Drosophila melanogaster: one gene and its partners. The protein of the gene in region 1 interacts with the protein of each later gene in a pairwise test. Each region holds a gene or a part of one and is shown on either strand. Other genes may lie near its edges.

Evidence for each region.
Region 2: the proteins of sxc (region 1) and ari-2 interact in a two-hybrid assay, tested with the Drosophila melanogaster proteins (one large-scale study listed by BioGRID).
Region 3: the proteins of sxc (region 1) and COX4 interact in a two-hybrid assay, tested with the Drosophila melanogaster proteins (one large-scale study listed by BioGRID).
Region 4: the proteins of sxc (region 1) and CG34324 interact in a two-hybrid assay, tested with the Drosophila melanogaster proteins (one large-scale study listed by BioGRID).

Annotation. Positions count from the first base shown.
Region 1 is NT_033778.4:5,305,770-5,310,345, reverse strand, and holds the start of sxc (super sex combs), read right to left. Parts: upstream 3,059-4,576; 5' UTR 2,848-3,058; coding exon 2,694-2,847; intron 1-2,693.
Region 2 is NT_033778.4:22,211,272-22,217,795, reverse strand, and holds ari-2 (ariadne 2), read right to left. Parts: upstream 4,962-6,524; 5' UTR 4,356-4,961; coding exon 4,277-4,355; intron 2,915-4,276; coding exon 1,611-2,914; intron 1,551-1,610; coding exon 1,404-1,550; 3' UTR 532-1,403; downstream 1-531. Other genes in the region: CG30278 (uncharacterized protein), read left to right, coding at 1-278; CG11291 (uncharacterized protein), read right to left, coding at 5,375-5,558, 5,613-6,355.
Region 3 is NT_033779.5:19,956,707-19,960,584, reverse strand, and holds COX4 (cytochrome c oxidase subunit 4), read right to left. Parts: upstream 1,873-3,878; 5' UTR 1,817-1,872; intron 1,754-1,816; exon of another isoform or gene 1,319-1,753; 5' UTR 1,306-1,318; coding exon 894-1,305; intron 835-893; coding exon 698-834; 3' UTR 520-697; downstream 1-519. Other genes in the region: CG34051 (uncharacterized protein), read left to right, coding at 1-180, 235-421; sick (sickie), read right to left, coding at 3,133-3,252, 3,314-3,793, 3,859-3,878.
Region 4 is NC_004354.4:13,455,993-13,459,268, reverse strand, and holds CG34324 (uncharacterized protein), read left to right. Parts: upstream 1-1,605; 5' UTR 1,606-1,657; coding exon 1,658-1,667; intron 1,668-1,762; coding exon 1,763-2,556; 3' UTR 2,557-2,735; downstream 2,736-3,276.

The DNA of each region.
Region 1 (4,576 bases):
AGAATTTTTATCAGGTTCAAATTCGCAAGCTAACATTTGAATGACTTCTGGTGGAAGAGATAGTCGCTTATGTTTTCGCCTCTTTAAATTTATTGATGATATTATGGGATCCGTAGTATCCATTGCTCTGTAAAAGACATCTGCGAAGCTACTAATAGTTTTTGCTTTGGCTGGGTTCAACAAAAGAATTTTAAGTATGGCTGCAAGATCCCGCAGGCAGCACTTCCGTACAGCTTGAACCAAAAGACATTCGTTGTGATTCTGCGCCCTTACGAGTTCATCTGCTTGCTGTCTTCGGCCACTCAAATTTTTTAAATAATATGACGTTTTCGGGAGTCCAGCTAATTTCCTTTCCTTTTTATTTTTCTCCTTTACCTTCAGGACTAGGTGTTCTTCTAACCAATTTGAAAAACTTTCAAAAATTCATTTATTTTTCGATTGCATTTTCTCCAATTTCGCAAAAGATTGACTGAAATCATTCGTTATTAATATTATTCGTTAATCGTTCATTAAAGTCTAGCTTGCTATCAGAAATATGCCCACTGATAAAAGTGCAAATAGAATTTTCCTTTTGACGAACAACCTTTTGCTTGCGCCACACTTCCAGCAGGGCAGCATTGGAAATCGAGATATTGCTCCCTAAAAAATGAAATTTCTCAAGAAACCGCAAAAAACGCACATAGAGACTACCTGATATGAGTTAGAAATTGAACACACTACAACATGGATATAAACACTTACTGAACAAATTTGAACAAATTGTTGTAGCTCTATTCAAAGTTTAAAATTTTTTCAAACAACTACATGTTGACACCACTTGCTAAATGTACAAATTGTTAGAAATAGGCGCACACAATAAACAATATATTAATAACAACACATAATAAAAACCTAAAGATTGATTATCTATTTCAAATTATACTCTCCTTCTTCTTCTTTTTAAATTTTAACACTTTGAAAGTTAAGCTAAATTTTGCGCGCAAAGCAGCCACGTGATATATGCTCGCAACAGCCGACTTTAACAGCTGTTATTATAACGGTGCATTGTAAAATTAACTTTTGCGGGCTGTATCATAACAGTTTAACGTATTTCCAATGTATTAATACTAAAATACTTCAAATTTGCATACTTGTGAAAAACACATTATTGTAAAAAAAACAGGCCAAATGCCCCATAGTGCTCTAGAGCCACATCGAATGGCGTTACGCATCTTGTTATTCTGGTGTCTTTGGCCGTACCCTTTGGTCGAGTTCCGCAACAGATTTTTAAATCAATAAAACATAGCAAGGCAAATAATAAAATGAAAACAAAACTTATTTTTAAACTTCCTTCTTCACACTGAATATTATTTCGTGCAATTATCAGAGGAAGTAATCTGTATAAGCTTCATACTTTAGAGAAGGCAACTAGATACTATGCTCAAGAGATAATTCCTCAGGTACAGCAAGGAAAGATGATTGAGACACACACTGAGAACTGCAGACACATGCATATGTATGCAGATTGAAATACAGGTATAGATCATACACATCCAGATTCAGGACTACCCTAAAATGGGCCGAGTCAATGAGTTTTCAAGATCTCTCACTACGCAGTCAATGATATTCTAGAAATAATACAGTTTAAACAAATTAGACTAGTGTTAAGCACTTCAATTGGTGCAGATTAACCAACGGATATGCAGGGTAACGAACCCTTGAAATTTCAAAGGACACATCCGAAGTTGTCTGCTGTAGTTTGTTCGTACAGTTTAGAGGTTTCAAACCAATAAGGTATTTCAGCACCGGATTCTTAAATTTGTTATATAAAAAAAAAGCAATTTTCTAATCGTTTTAGAAAACAAAAAGGTGTTTTTTATGCCGCAGCTTATTTTGTGCAGTATGTTAATATTCAATAAATGGCCATTTTAAACCTAACAATTTTTTAATTTTAATATCCGAGATTGATCCAACTTCGCGGAGAAGCGGAAGCTTCTCCCTAAAAGAAAATACTGTATTGAATGAAGGCCGAAAAGCACCGAAGAACTTTTCAATGAATACCAAATAATATATGTACATATATGTAATATATGTTGTCAAAAATTTAAAAAAGGAAAAACGTGCAAGCTACAGCAGAACGAAAAAAAATTTAAGTGCAAAGTAAGCTTTAAGCCAGAAAAAAAAAAAATTACAATAAAAAATTTAATTTTAGATGGAGTGAGAGATAACATTATAGACGAGTTTCTCGACTACCAGATACCCCTTACAAGATACGGCTTTAATGAGGGATGCACATTTAGAATACGGAAATCGTCTGTTTTTTAACCATGTCAATAATTCTTTCAAAAATATTGCGTTTACATTTTTCTGGTATCTTTCATCGAAGCAATGCCAACATAAAAATTAATTTAACTACACGAAATAAGCTCAGACACTGAACACTGATTTTTATGTTGTGTGAATTTTTAGATGCGTACACCATATGCATCTCTTAATATGTTGTTAATATGAGACACATTAGACACATATCTATCTCGGGCCAGGCATAACCAATTGTTTGATTTATTGATTTTTCTTAATTTAATTGTGGTTGTCTTCGCTGTCAAACTTATTCATTTGCATTAATGTATAAAGTATTTAACTAGATGTATTCTTTAAAAAAATCAATTACAAACGTATGTACATACATATATAAATGTATGGTTATTTCTTACCGACTGATGAAAGAGATTGAATGTCATTTTGTTTTACGACTAGGTTACTGCCTGTTGAATTCGGATTTTGATCTAATAATATATGGGCCGCGGACGGCAGTTGATGGCTCTGTCCTTGAGACTGCATATTTATTCGTGTTTGTTCAACATGCATTAAAATCCAACGTTGATAACATGTGTCTAAAATCAATAAGCCACCCTTAAGTAAAGACACTGTGATGTTGTTTACATGATTAAACCTTTAAGAAAGAGAATATCAGTAAAATATCAATATGAATTGCATTAAGTTATAAAAGCAACCTGATTTAATTATTTTCAAACATCCACTCAGCTGTTAATACGATTTACAAGAGAAAATCAAATATTTACATACTCAAATATTGAACACTGTGAACAGCAACTTAATAGCTTATACCCTATTCTTACGGCGGCAAAAACCATATTAACATAATATCAATGTTATACCAATGATATACCACATATAATTTCAAATGAAGAGAGAATGGTATTGTCGAGTCAATCAGATAACCGTTAGTCAGCTCGTGAAAATGGGAACACGAAATTCATTCATCATTTTTCTGGGATATCGTTAAATACTGGGATATAAAATAAGAACAAAATTGTTTCAAATTGATCAAAAGTTCGGTCTTGACCGGTTTGGAAGGTGTAAGAAGGGCCGTGGCCGCGAATTAATAGAAATTGTATACAAAAATCAAAAAATTTCAAAACATTTTGAAATTGTTAGCGTTAGAGTGGTCATGGCAAAATGTTTTCTGGCAAATTCATAGAAATTTAAAAGAAAATAAAAATATGAAAGAATAATAAAACATTTTACATAAGTGTAGACGTGGCAGTTTTGTCCGGTATGTGTGCGTTGGATTGCACATGGCAACATGGGTTAACAAACTTGCGCGGCGCCTATGTCTCTAGAATCACATATCACATACAGTTTGTCAAGAAACTGTTTACACACTGTAAAATAAGTTGAATTTTTGACTTTAAAGCTAAAAATAAAGGGTTTTTTGCTTAATTAAACGCAATTTTTTTTATAAAATATAATCAAACAATATTTATTTTACTTATAAATCAAAAAACAAATTAAAAATATTAAATATACAAGAAAATAAACAACAAATTCCAAGTTTACACGCTTTTAAGACTGTCAAGAAACTCTCTTTATTACAGTTGCGGTAACAATAATAGCATCATAAGCACATTTCGTGTTTGTCCCAGCTTTTCTCTATTTTCTGACACTTTCTCATTATTTTACTCACTAAACTTAAATACTACAATGATTTTCAATCGAAATAAAAAAATTAGTAACAGATCTCATGGATATTTTAAAAATAATTGGTAAAACAAAAAAAAAACCTTCAAATTTAGGCGGTAACAAACATAGCACTGTTTCTCGTAGTTTGCTTGGGATGCGATCGGGTGTGGTACCGTTTTGGTTTTAAGACTCCTCTCAGCCGCTAGGATCTCGGGCTCCGTGACAGGCCGCAATTCGTCTCCGCTTGGCCCGATCTGGGAATTGGGAATGGCAGACCGAACAGGAACAGAACGTTAAAGATGTTTTCCAGAGCAGATGGATCGCTTTCTGCTGCGACGCAGACTTTCAGAAAGCATTCACGATTGCTGGCTCTAATCGTTTTCTTCGGTGAATTCTTTGTGACCTTGTATTCCGTATGGCATGCTTCCAGACGCGTGGTGCCACGAGCTCTTTGTACGAGTCTCGTTGCGCGTAGGCTGATGATGCGCTGCAAGGCAATATCCTCGCTCCACCAGAAAACCAGGGTGTGGTGCCTTCGGTTCGTTTTCCTCATTCGCATGCTTTGGCCGCAGGCCTCCTCCACCCTCGCTACTATTTTATCCGCTGCTGCGAT
Region 2 (6,524 bases), about 17 Mb from region 1:
GCTGCGAAGTGGAGGTCTATCCCGCCAAGAAAGTGGAAAATATGAACAACGTGAGGGTGACCAAGATATCGGGAGTCAAGAAGTTCGCCAACAGTCTGCTGAAGGAGCATTCCGAGTGCCGGTTGTTCACCTTAGCCAGCCAACTTGCGAAGCAGAAACCACCTTTGGCGCCTGATGTTAGGATGAGTCGGATGAGCAGGAAGAGCCGGAAGAGCCGAAAGAGCCGGAAGAGCAGCAGAAAGAGTTCACTGTTCGGCAATAAAAAGGGTAAAAAATAATAGCAAAAACATCATCGAAGACTAACTAAGCACATCCAATCTGAATAACAACGAAATCAAGGAAGATAAGTTGGAATATAGCTCGTACTCAATCACTAAAAAAAATAAACTCGGCTCAAAACCCAAACTTGAAACTTGAGTGAAAGCTTATCCTTAAAACACTCAATCCAAGCTTCGTATGAGCTTCTCCAAAGCTTTAAGCACAAGACCCAAATCGTAAGCTTGCAGCCCACAGTCGAAAAGTCAGTTGAATAGTTGTATATCTAGTGTAAATTTAATTCAAATTCAGTCGCATAAGCATACATACATAGCGTAATCCTAGAATATAATTTATGATTCAGCTTACAAAGTTAATCGAGAATCGAGTGAGAATCAAAAGGAACGGGATCGGGGACGGGGAGTATCTATCTTCGTTCTTACTTAAGACTTTTGCGTTCGATTGATGTGCTGCGATTAGTTACGAGATACAGATTGCGAATACTTGATGCTGTTCACGCGGGGCTAATACAAGGTTTAAAACTTAGGGTCTAACCGATGAGCCGATCTGCTTAGGCGGTCTTTGATCTATAATTGCTTGACTTGCGGCGCTATACATTTAGAATTGTTACTGTTTCTGCATTTCATCGGGTCGTTTGGGCTAGTTTTTGGAAAACTGTTGGAACACTTGGCCACTGAAATGCGTCTGGTTTGTCAGTTAGTCAGTTGCTAGATTTAAAGTTAGTTTTATAGTTATGGTATAGCTACCGGTATCGGTATCGCTAGGGCTTTAGCTATAGATACTGTATATCGTTAACGTTCTGCGCAAGGCGTTGTATTGCAGTTACACCGATCATTTTGAGTGATTTCGAATGTCACAACTATAGTAATTATACTTCGAGTAGTCGACTATGCTCTATGCTACGTTTTCTAGTCTATATGCACTTGATTATTAGTTTAATTTAAAAATTAGCTACACGTCGTTGGGCCTACTACTAGATGGATACATGTAAATATGTGTATAATTTAATTTAAATAAGCGTCTCTATACTGTCGCGTCACGTCGACCTGTCAGCAGTCAATCAAAGAGTGTTTGTGCTAAACAAGACAGGCTGTCCGTTCTGGTGGCCCTGGAAGCTCGACGGTTGCCTATGCGTCCACTGGGAAGAAGTCTTTCAGTAGCGTGGTGCGGCGCTTTTCAGCGATGTCCATTTGATTCTCGAGATCACCCAGGTCCGTTGTCTCGGCGCGCTCTATCTTCCACGACAGATTCTCGATTTCGGCCTCCAGTTGTGCCTGCACGGAATTAATACATTATTGGGCAACCAGTTAAAGAATAGCCGAACTGCGACTCACCTGCTGGTACTCAAAGAGATTCTTTCGCGAACCGGCCTCCATGTAATAGGCGTACGGATAGGTGTACTGCAGCGTGTATCGACACTTGGCCAGCAGTGCCGCCGCGTTGAAGAGGTATTGCCAGTCGATCCAGGTGCCGCTGCCGTTCATCACCTTCGAGTTGATCCGCTGGCGCAGCCGGTCGATCGTCTGTTGCTCGAGTTTCAGAGACTTGGAGTGGTTCTCCCAGCGCTCGTAGTAGTGCAGGTACTTCTTCAGCGCCTCGCGCGCCTGCACGTGCACCGACTCGTTGGCAATGTTGGGGTTGTCCTTGTAGCGAGAGCACTCGTAGTACTCGGAGCCGTGCGTCTTCCAGTCGCCCAAGCACATCCAGCAGAAGTCGTGCTTGCAGTTGAAGCACTGCATGTGGTTGCAGCCGCCGTTCTTCTCAATGCAGATGTGACACTTGGGGCAGTCTTTGGTGTGGGCGCTGATGTAGTTTGCCGTTTCGCTGTCGTCGGCGCACTTGGTCAGCCACTTCTTGATCACCTGGCAGTCGGTGGGTGCGTGGTAGTCCATGCCGCACCGGAAGCAGAAGCCCGTGTGGCAAGCCTTGCAAATGGCACGTTTGGCGGAGATCTCCGATGATTGCACAATAATCTGGCAGTTGGGCCCGGGACAGAAGCGGAGTTCCGGGTGTGACTTGACGTAGTCCTTAAATGCAAACTGCTGGTACTTGTCCCGCATAACGGGTCGCGTGACCAGCGTCAGCACCAAGTCCTCGGGCACCCTAACATTACACATCTGGGCCATGCAGCCGATCTGCGTGGAGATTCCCTGGAAGATCTGCGTCTCGAAGTATATGGTCCAGCAGTCCTTGCAAAACGAGTGCCCACACGCCAGGCTGTAGAACTTGTCGCCCAGCTGCGAGCTGGCACAAACGGGACACATCTGGCTGCGGTACTGTGGTGTCGCCGATGCCGTCGTCTTGTACCCGCTGCTCCCCAGTCGGAGCAGTTGGGCACTGGCCGCCGCTGCACTCGTCGAAGCCGTATCCGTCACTGCCACCGATGGCGGCTTGATTCGCGCCGTCACCAGCAGTGCATTGGCGTCCTGGCGGTACTTTTCAACGACGGCCACATTGTTCCACTGGTGCTCCAGCAGCAGCACCTTGGCCAGCGAGGGTGTGATCTGCAGGATGGTGTTCAGCTTCTCCACGCGCTCGTTCAGCAGCTTCTCGATGTCCTCGACGGTTAGGCACTCGTACTCAAAGTACTCCGGGTCGGCCCGCTTCGGATCCAGACGCTCCACATCGCAGTCCTCGCCTGAAGAAGAAAAGGATATTAGTATTATAATATAATTGAACTTTATAACATTTATAAATCATAAATCTATTATGCTTTGATAGGACAGTTTCCACTTTTTCTTTTGGTTATTTAAGCTAACTGATTGTATTTTAAACCAAAATCAGACTGAAAGACAGCAAGGGTGGATTTCAAACGAACCCTGAGTTAGCAGTTGCAGTTATATACAATAGGGCACTTTTAATCCCTTATTGTACAAAACTGGTTCCAGAGTTACGAAGGTTGAGTTGAGTTTGTAAGTTAAGCAATGGCTGACTTACATTGATCGGTTGAAACCGACGAAACATTATTACTTTGGGAATATCTTCTATGTTAATCTGACATGTATGGATCAAAAGGGATTACAGTGTATGCAGCCGGTAATCATGTTTGCATTTTGTTAGTCACATTGGCTAATTCGAGAAAACAACCGCGCGACAAGGCTGCCATAGAAGTGCTCGACGTTACGATGTTACCGATATGAGGTATCCGATTGAAGGTTGAGTTAGGGGGCGTCTTGGCCAGGTCGGAACAATAAGGGACAGGTCAAGAAGCGGAGACCGAGTTGACGGAACAGCGGCACACAACAGAATGCAACTGCGTACTTGAGCACGCACCTGAGCTGGTGTTCGTGGTGTGTGTGTTAATGTGTGCTTGTGTGGGTTGTGGAGCTACGAAGAGCGTGAGCAGAGTGGCGGGCAATAATGAAGCCAGCCACAAAACACAAGCCTCGCAATCAGTCCCAACTCGCAACTACCAATTGTACTTGCCCATGCACTGAGAGAAATCAAGTCTTTAGTAATATTCTTATATTATTTTGCCCCTTTTAAATCAATATTGATTTGAGTTCATGTTATAAAACCATTTGAAAATCAAGCCCTATCACATAATTCTCTAAATTGAGGTATCAAATCATCATTAGAATTGCTTTGGGAAATGTACCAAATGTAATCATTTAGTTTGGCCTAGATTTGACATTTTAAAACTAAACATTTATCCTATTACACAGTGCAATTTTCTCGCCGTGCAGCTACGTGCGTGTGTGTTTGTTTCAAGTTCAATTCCATAATTTAAGCTTCATGGTCAGCGAAGAAGGGCGGAGATCAAATGGGGGGTGTGGGGTTTGGTCATGGAACCCAAGGCGAATGTCAAGTGCTGAATGCAAATTCCCAGGTCTTGCGGGCCTCCTTCCGAAAAGGTGAATAACCAAACCAAGAGCCCGACATGTGTGTGTGTACTTCCTCACAGATACACTCGTACCCCTAATTTGGCCACAGTTAAATCGATGGCCGATTGTTGTCAGGGGGAAGTGCCCCTCTAGATCAGGTACTAGTTTCCACTTACCTGTGTTGTAGTAGTCGTAGTCGTCGTCGTACTCCCCGTCGTTGTCCGATTCCATATCCATTTCGATGTCCGAGTCCATTCCGGCGGATTGGCGCTTAAGATTTGGGCCTCAGATTCGGGATGTTTGGTTGGGAATTCGAGTTTCTGGCGAGGACACTCACTGCTTCCGTGTGAGTGTGAGTGCGGGGTGTCTTCTCTCTTGCTCTTTTGTAACAGTTGTTGTAAGGGCGCTGGTGGTTGCTGTTGTTGTTTTCGCAGGAGGTGGATGATGGACCCAGAGAGCGGGAGGGGCGGTGGATGCGGATAATGGAAAGTGGCCGATTTAGCGCGATGCAGTGCCACCGATTCTGGTTAGGGTGATGAACTTTGCGGGGTGGCTATTCTACGGCGGGGGGCGGTCCCTTGTTTTATTTTCGTTTATCAACATGCATGTGTACACACACACACGAGCGCACTCTCGCTCTCACGCACACACACTCGCACAGCCGTTGCACTCAACTCAAGGTGTTTTTTCTACTTCGCCTGCAGTTTATTTTCATTTTTCGCTATTTATAGAACAATCTTATGCACCACTGACAATGCACTAGATGCACTGACTTTTTGCGTTTTTAAGCGAGCACAGCTTTTGCAGAGAACATTTTGTTCTTTGTCTTGTCCGAACCTATCGGGGCATATCGTTCTTCGATAGTTCGATGTTTTATTACTCTTCTTCTTTCAGTGCGACCACGAAGCAATCAAATCAAATACCAAAAATATACCAACAACATGTATTTTTTTATTATCACATTAATTCAACTTTTTCTTCGCGATTATTGATGCAAAACTATTAGTTTCAACAGAAAACTGGCAATTTGCTTTACTATTTTAGATTACAAATTTTAAAACTAAAAATTTACAAATATACTGGTAGCACTGACTCGCGACTTGTGCTAAAAGCCAAAATACCGAAATCATTTAGCACACAGGAGTGCTCAGAAACAAAACAGCTGTTCAGCTTTTGAGCGGCTTAGTTTGAATTTTGAATATGATCTAAATTACTTTTTGGTCAGCTGGGTATGTTTTTTGGATATGGAAATCGCTTTTCTTGCCCGACATCACCTAGATGCATAAATACTCCCCAAAAGAAGCAAGACCGGAGAGAAAAGCATCTGGAACAAGTTTCATTTTCTTCTCATCTCCCTCTTTTTTAATTTTCTCGGCTTTTTCGATCGCTCCGTTATCGCAGCCCACCAATAATGATTGGAAACCACATATACTTGCAAATAAAATGTCTGATTTAAGCCTAAAGGAAAGAGGATAAAGTATGATCCTCAATAAAAGTAATCATTGAACTTACGAGTTTCCAATGACAAGCGTCTTTTCGGGCTTTATTTCGCCAGACTTCATCAACTTGCCCAAAATCCGCTGATTCGGTTTGCCCAAAACGATAGGCTTGCGTTGTACAATTATCTCGATGGCAGAGGCCAGAGATCCGGCATCTGGGATCCTCTTTTTCCCAAATGGCTGGAATCCATCAATGCAAGTGGTAAGGAACAAGACTTTGGGATTTTGAAGATAGTTGCAGGCCACAAGCAACTCGTTCGCTATCATGTTGTCGTCTCTGGCCACCAAAACAGCTCCCACATCCGGATCGAGAACTAAGCTCCTGACGAAGTCGATTTTTTTCTGGTCATTTGGCTGCAGATCGTTTACCACGGAACAGAATCCGGCCTCTTTCAGATCTTTGCGGATACCGTCACCACCCAAAACGAGGATTTTCTTCTTAAACTTCCGGTCGCTAAGGTAACTCGCAATGGCACCCGACGAGCTGAAAATGTCCTGCTCCTTGACATTGAAGCCCAGGCACTTGGCCTTCTGGAACAGATCCTTGTTTGTTAGGCAGCACTCGTTGGTGGCTATGAGACATCGCTTTCCCTTTGAAATTATGGCATTGAATGCCTCTACAGAGCCCTCAATGGGGGTATTCTCCTGCCACAGCACCCCATCCGTGCTGCAAATAATGGTGTCGATCCCGGCCAGCCATTCGGCCACCTTTGCCTTCGGCAGCTTGTCCAGATGGCTTAGACTGCGCCTTAACATAATACAATTTTGATTAAATTTAGAATGTGAAATATTAAAATTTTGAGTACTTTATGACATTATTTTCAAAGATTAAAAATTTCATATTGCCATATAAGAGTATCATAAAATAGCAAGGAATACGAAAAAGTTTATTTGGCAAAAGTAAAGTGATACTATATAAAAATGT
Region 3 (3,878 bases), on another chromosome or scaffold:
GAGCGCCTACCAAAAAGAGACGGCAGAGCTGGAGGAATGGGGTCGAAAGAAGAATATAACTGACAACGAACTGAAGTTATTCTTTGACGGTGAAATTTCTACCAAAGACAAGTACAGATTATTTGGGGACATTCAAACGGTTGTCCAGATCCTGAAAGAGGTGATAAAAAAGGGAGCTGTGTAAGTAGTGTTCGCCTATATGTCTGGCAATGCCTTTGAAATCCGCCTTTTTAGGACCGAAAAAGAGAAAGCAATGATAACGCCGGAACTGAAACCATTGATCTTAAGATTCGGCCGCATGTTTGAAAGGGAATTTGCCAAGAACACAAATGCCTTGGAAGCCTTGCAGATCCTTGTTCATGAGGTTCAAAAATCGAACAGCCGGAACATGAGACATAAGAGTGCTAAAAGGTCTCACTAAGTGGTAATTAAATTGGCTATGCCTGTGGCGATTTTAGTAACGAAAAGTTTGTAATCTACACACTAAAAGGTCTGTTAATAAATCGAATAACAATCATTGCTCTTAAAACGGATCATTGAGGCTGGTTTCCTAGCAGAAACTGATGACTGACCCAAGATCGATTGATTTAGGCAGCAGCCATAACTTTAATTTCGACTATCTTGCTTTTACTTAATACACATAGACGTCGGCTAACTTAATCACACACAATCGCGGAATTATTTAACGACAGCGCACTTAGTTCTTCCACTTCTTGTTCTCGTAGTCCCACTTGGAGGTCAATCCGGTGACGGGGTTGATTTCCAGGTCGATGATGCGCTGCAGCTGCGCCTTCTGGTGCTCCTCATCGAAGGTAACGGGCAGCTCATCGTACACTGAAAGGAAAATGCTCAATAATGGATAGCCGCAAAAGGGAACCGGAAAAATGGCTTACCGAAGATGTTCATCAGTACGGCCACCCAGATGGCGGCGGCGCAGAAGAGGAGTGAAACGCCCAGGTGGAGCTTCCACTCCCCGGATCCAGCCTGGACCTCGGCGATAGTCTGGCAGAAGCTGGCGCGGTACAGGGCCTTGATCTCCTGGGTGCTGAGCTTCTTCCAGTCTCCCTGCTCCTTGGCGCGCAGAGCGTTGATCTCGTTGGTGGGCTCACGGAAGCGCACGGCGGGCAGAGGGTAGTCCACGCGATCCGCGTAGCAGGCGGTGCCGTTCCAGCCGTAGCCAACGATCTCCCGCTTGCCGATCTTGTCCAGTGTGTGGACGGCGGCCACGCTGCCCACCTGGGCACTCTTGGGCAGCTGAGAGGCCAGCTGGCGGAGCACAGCACTGTTGAGTAGTCGCAGGGCCATTTTCTCACAGAGTCTGCAAGGTAGTAAAATGAATATCAATTTATGAGGTATCAGCAGAGGAACATAGGGTCTTGGACCCGCGATAGCCAAATTTCCCACCCGACCAGGCGGTCATCCGTGAATTCTAACGGGTTACGAATTCACCGATATATGGTGCCCACTTAGTTGGAGGTTATGTAACAGCTAGCAGAACTACGTGCCAAGTTATAGAATCTATTTCCATAAAAATCGCATTGTTTTGAGGTTCCTCTACGCCTGTCGCCATATATTTATCCCGATTTCGTGCTGTGTTTGGCATAATATCCGCATAATTCTCCCATTTTTCACAGCCATCACAGATGTTGTGTAATCGGTGGGCGGTTGCATCTACCGGAAAACGGCTTATAAACCGGTGGCAACTGGTTTTCCAATTTATGTCGGCTTGCTTATCCCGCTCGTTGTATTCAATAGCTTTGTGGTCGCAGGTACTTGATATTTTTCGCAATTAATACAATTTTTAAAGCACTTTTACCTACTTTTCTTAGACTTGCTGAACAATGTGACCAGAGGGAATATACAAAACAAAATATATATATGGATGGGTAATTATTGCTCGATATTTTGGTATTTTCATGCAGAGAAGTGTGACCACATCTCGAATGAAAAAATATAAATATTAATATATCGATATATTCAATCGCTAGCAATCGGAATTCGGCGGGGTATTTAAATCTAAATATATTAAAATAAAGAAACAGCAAATAAGGGCAACTATTATGTTTTATTTTATTTCGCAGCATGGTGAAATATTTGGTTTGGTATTTCACATTCTTTTTGTAGTCTGTCCGCGAGAAGAGAAACAACAACAAAACAATTATTGTTCGATATTATATTTTATTTTGATTTGATGTCATATCTCATAAATGCACACATTTAAATTAGACAGAGACACATAATTTGCTTTATCGTATCATATAGTTTGCTGCTTGAGTTTGTATTACATAAGATTATCTTTCGATAGGGATCTGGAGTTCGGAAATTTAGCTATTTTATCGAGGATGGGGCATTACGTATTCACTTTCGCGTATTCCTGTGTTTAAGCGCCGCTTGGCATAATAAATATGTTAATGGTATTTTGCTTTATTGGGCTTTATAAATATGCAATATGTTTGTAACAATATTTAATGATAATTACGCAAATAATTAAACTAAAGTGAAAGCTTTTTCCTTCAACTATACATCTTGTAAATTGGTAGTAGCAAAAACTTATAGCTACATTTACAGTAGAGTTAGGTATTAGTTGCGATTTAATTCATATGATCCGCCGACTCTGGGCTGGGATAAAGGGTATAAAAAGTCTAGACCGTCGGTCAGATTCACACTTAAGCATAGGGGGGACTTGGGGTTAGTTTTCATCTATATGTACAAAAATGAATTCACTCGTCTTATCTCTGTAACATTTCATGTTAGTGAAGTTTCCTTTTCTCAAGATTTGGGTTTTTCGGAAACGCAGCCGGGGTCCTTGCTTTTTGGGATGGTAGTGCTTCGTTATCAGGTTCAGTTTGTGGCTAGGACAATTTGCATTTTTAACAAGTGCGCTAAAAAGTGCAATTTACTCTAGATGGCAGGGAGTGGCTAGAAACGATGATTGGAAAGGTTGGTGACGTGGTGCAAATGGAAAACTCTTGGAACTGCTTTTGAACCTCGCTGCGAAAGTAGTGCAAGAAGTCTCATTTGTGCGGGGGCAAGGATATCTTGGGTGCATATCTTGGACCCTCAGCTGGCGTACTCCTCTCAGTTAGTTCATCTAAATTTGGCATGTACGAAGTGGTTGGTTTCTATAGCTGTTCACTCGGCTCCAGCGGAACTTTCGGGCGTAACATTCGAGTCCAGGCTGGCACAATCGGACTCCTGATCCTGGGCCTCCGAGTAGTTGGCCGCCTCCTGCAGGCGCATCAGCATGTTGAGCTGTTGACGAAACGCCTCATTAGTTGAAAATCAAAGGAGCAATATTAGTCCTGTATCTTACCAAGGGATCCTGTTGGTCACCGTTGGTTAGGGCCACGCCTTCGAGTCCCACATCCTCGGCATTGATTTGCCGTAGTGGAGGCACTGAGTCCGGACCGTATGGCCACGGATAGGAGTTCCTAATGAAGGCGGAGGGGTCGTTCCAGGCACCTCCTCGTCGTCCATAGAGCTGAACTCCCTCGCGCACCGCCTCCACCAAGTATGGCGAGAGGTGGTAGTTCCAGATGTCGGTGAACCACACCTGCGAGTCCTTCAGGTCCATTGGGCAGGCGAGGAATAGCCTCGGCCCAATGGTTACATCACTGGAGCTGTGCACCTCCAGGAATCGGTTGATGTGCTGCCAAACGGAGGGCAACCAGGCCAGCACTGCCGCCAGCTCCGGCTGCGGATGTTGCGTCTGCAGTTCCAGCTGGAAGAGTCGACGCCTCAGGAAGCGACCCAGAAAGCCTTTCACGGGCTCCATGTGATTAGCTGTGAGCACCTGTGAGCAAGTGATAAAGCAAATATGTAATGATCCAATTTGTAAGGTCCATCATCAAAACATACCCATCGGAAATTGTGGTGCA
Region 4 (3,276 bases), on another chromosome or scaffold:
AGTAATTTTTGCCCGGCAAATGGCCAAGTCGTGTTTGTTGGCGAGGGTGTAGCTTTACGAGTGCTAAGTGAATGAAACAAAGTGAATTTAACTCAATCCAATTGAACCATAACGATTGAAAGTTTTCGGGGCTTATGCGGGCTGTAAAGCACTCCCCACACTTTGAATATAAATTAAAATCCAATGCACATCATTTCGCAGCTTCAACAATACCCAACTCAAAAATTGTAAAACAAAAAAAGGAGTCTGAAAAGGGCACCTCCGAAATCCGAAAACAGATGTCGGAATATAAATGCGTGCATAAATATTCGCCATGCGACAACAATTGATTCTGTTTGCTTATGCCGTTTGGAAATATTCTACTGTTTAAATAAATAATTATTTACGATCGCAGTGCAAGGGTTCAAAGGGCACGATTGGGTGGTGAAATCAAGGATATCACGTGATGGAGCTGAATGTGGACAGATTTGAAACCATGTCATATTGCTATGCTTTGATTCAATTGTGAATAAATAAGAGAAAGCTCAATAGCAGATTTTTAAAATAAATAATTAAAATATGTATAGATATACTAAACAAAAATAGGTGCTACATTTGAATTTGTTTTAAAATGAATCGCTGTTCGCTTGGCCCAGTAAACTTCTCTATCACTGGGTGATTGGTATAAAAATCGCTCATAAATCTTAACTGCAACAACCATATTTAATTACAAAACTTTTGCCAACTGTCCAGCGCTTTTCAACGCCCCCCCTACACCACCAGCTGTCCAGGATATGCGGGACACACGGGGATATGGTGGTCCTTTTTGTTTTTTGTTTTCACAACCGCGCTGCAGGCAAGGTGGACTTTCCGAGGGGCGGAAGTGGCAATGCGGAGGTTTTCATGCCGAAATTATTACGCATACCCACACACAGATGCCCCCTTAGGCTCTTTGCCATTTTTATCGACTGCCAAATGGCCAACACTTGTCCACTCATCCGCTCTTGGCCACATGGCCTCTTGGCCACATGGCCACTTGGCCTAACACTTCCGGTCCGGGGCCATAAACCGAAATCTCTTGTTTGCACTGGCCCGGAGTCAAGAAGCAATTGCCAAAAAAAAAAAAAGGAACAGAAAGCAAATGGGGGGCCGGGCCTGCGAAATCAGTTAACAGGCAATTTCAACTATTTTACAGATTGCGTACGGAATGGCCAAATGAACCGGGCCAAATGTCAATGCCATCAGTGTATGTTCGAATGGAGATCACTGTGGGAAAACTCTTTCAAAAAAACACAGTATTAAGTCTAAAAAATGACATATGTAACAATATATATTTGAAAACGAACATTAAGCATGATTGTTTTCCCCTCAAAGAATAAGTATTATATTACAGCAAAAAATAAAACAACTGCGAAGTAAAAAACAAAACATTTTGCTTACATGAACAAAACACGATACCCCAAAACCTACAACCAGACCAATTTTGGTTAATTAGCAGAGTGCCGAGAACCTCGGGGATCATGGACCATGTACCACTCAACAGATCTCAAGTGCTTTCCCTGTTCCACAGCCAGATAAAATCTGCAACTGGGCGATATAAAAAGAGCCCCGAGTGCAGCTAACATCATTCGCTAACCAGCAGAGAAGTTGAAACTGCAGAGGCATTATCGAACGCAACATGAGAGTTTGTGGGTAGCTCCGATCCAAGATCCTCCATAAAAAAAAAAAAAAACAAGGAGTTTCTTCTTATTTTTATTTTTTTTTTTTTTGTGCTTTATCCTAGACCACTTGCTGCTGATTGGATTAGTTTTGGCGACTATCGCCGGCGGTCATGAGGCTTTGGCACATCCGCCTAGAGCCGATACCCCACCGTGTACTCCTCCCCCGGATCCGTGCACAACAACAACATGCCCACCACCACCGCCGTGCACCACAACAACATGTCCACCACCAGAACCACCACCGTGCACCACAACAACATGCCCACCACCAGAACCACCACCGTGCACCACAACAACATGCCCACCACCACCACCTCCGTGCATTACTACAACGTGCCCACCACCACCACCACCTCCACCACCACCACCACCACCACCGTGCACCAGGACACCACCTCCATGCACCAGGACACCACCTCCATGCACCAGGACACCACCTCCATGCACCAGGACACCTCCTCCATGCACCAGGACACCACCCCCCTGCACCAGGACACCTCCATGCACCACCACTCCTCCCTGCACCCCACCGTGCACCACCACCAAGCCCTGCACCACAACCGTTTGCACAACACCCAAGAGCGACAACGCTGGGCCAATTGTCGACGGAAATGAAGAACAGCCCGATATAGACAATCCAGTTGCTATTGCCCAGGTGCTGATCTCGCGCCACGATTGCCGTGGCCAGGAGGACGGAACCTTCCTCGCCGACGTGCGTCACTGTCGCCGCTACTACGTGTGCAACCGTCAGAGGTCGAAGCGCCAGAACTGCCCCAACGGCTACTGGTTCGATCGCGAGCTGAAGGCCTGCCGACTGGCCAGTACCGTCAACAACTGTGACGCCAGGCGCAACTGATGTTGCTGCTGCCAATGTGGCCATGCGCACAAGCAAAGCAAATTGGCTTTAAAGAATTTTTTTTTTTTTCACTATTTCAAAGAACATAGAAGCAAAGCAAGTGTGAATTAATTGTAAACTATGCCAAAGCAATAAAGTAAATATTTCACCGATTATACAATAAATAAGAGTGAGCATTCATATTTGAGTTGAACATTAGTTGCGTGCAAAACAGTGTGACCGAATATTGCCAGCACAGGGTTACTTTGATCAATTTGAACTATGCAGCTGTGTCGGCCCTTTGATTTACTTTCGAAATCAATCAAAGCCTTTATTAATATATAGCTAAATATAGAACACGAACGATTAAGCTGTCTGGCCCGCTCTCCAATTGTCATCAATTTGCCCGGAGGCAAAATAAAGAAAACTTTCAATCAGCCGAACAAAAATTGCGAAAAAGCAAAACAAGCTCATAAATTTGTCAACACTTTTGGAGCGACATCGACTGCGAGTGGAAGTGGTAGTGGATGGTGGTAGTGCCACTCGGTCGGGTGGGGGTCAGAAAAGTATGCCACAGTTTGGTGCACATCCATATCCGTTTTATAGGCGTCAACTTTTCGGTCGAGGACTGGAAGGGCCAACAACAACAGCAATAACAGTGCGACATTTGTGAGTTAGTGTCTGTGTGGCATTACTATGTCAGGCTATTTATTATATCCTGCCACATACCACCGCCGAGCC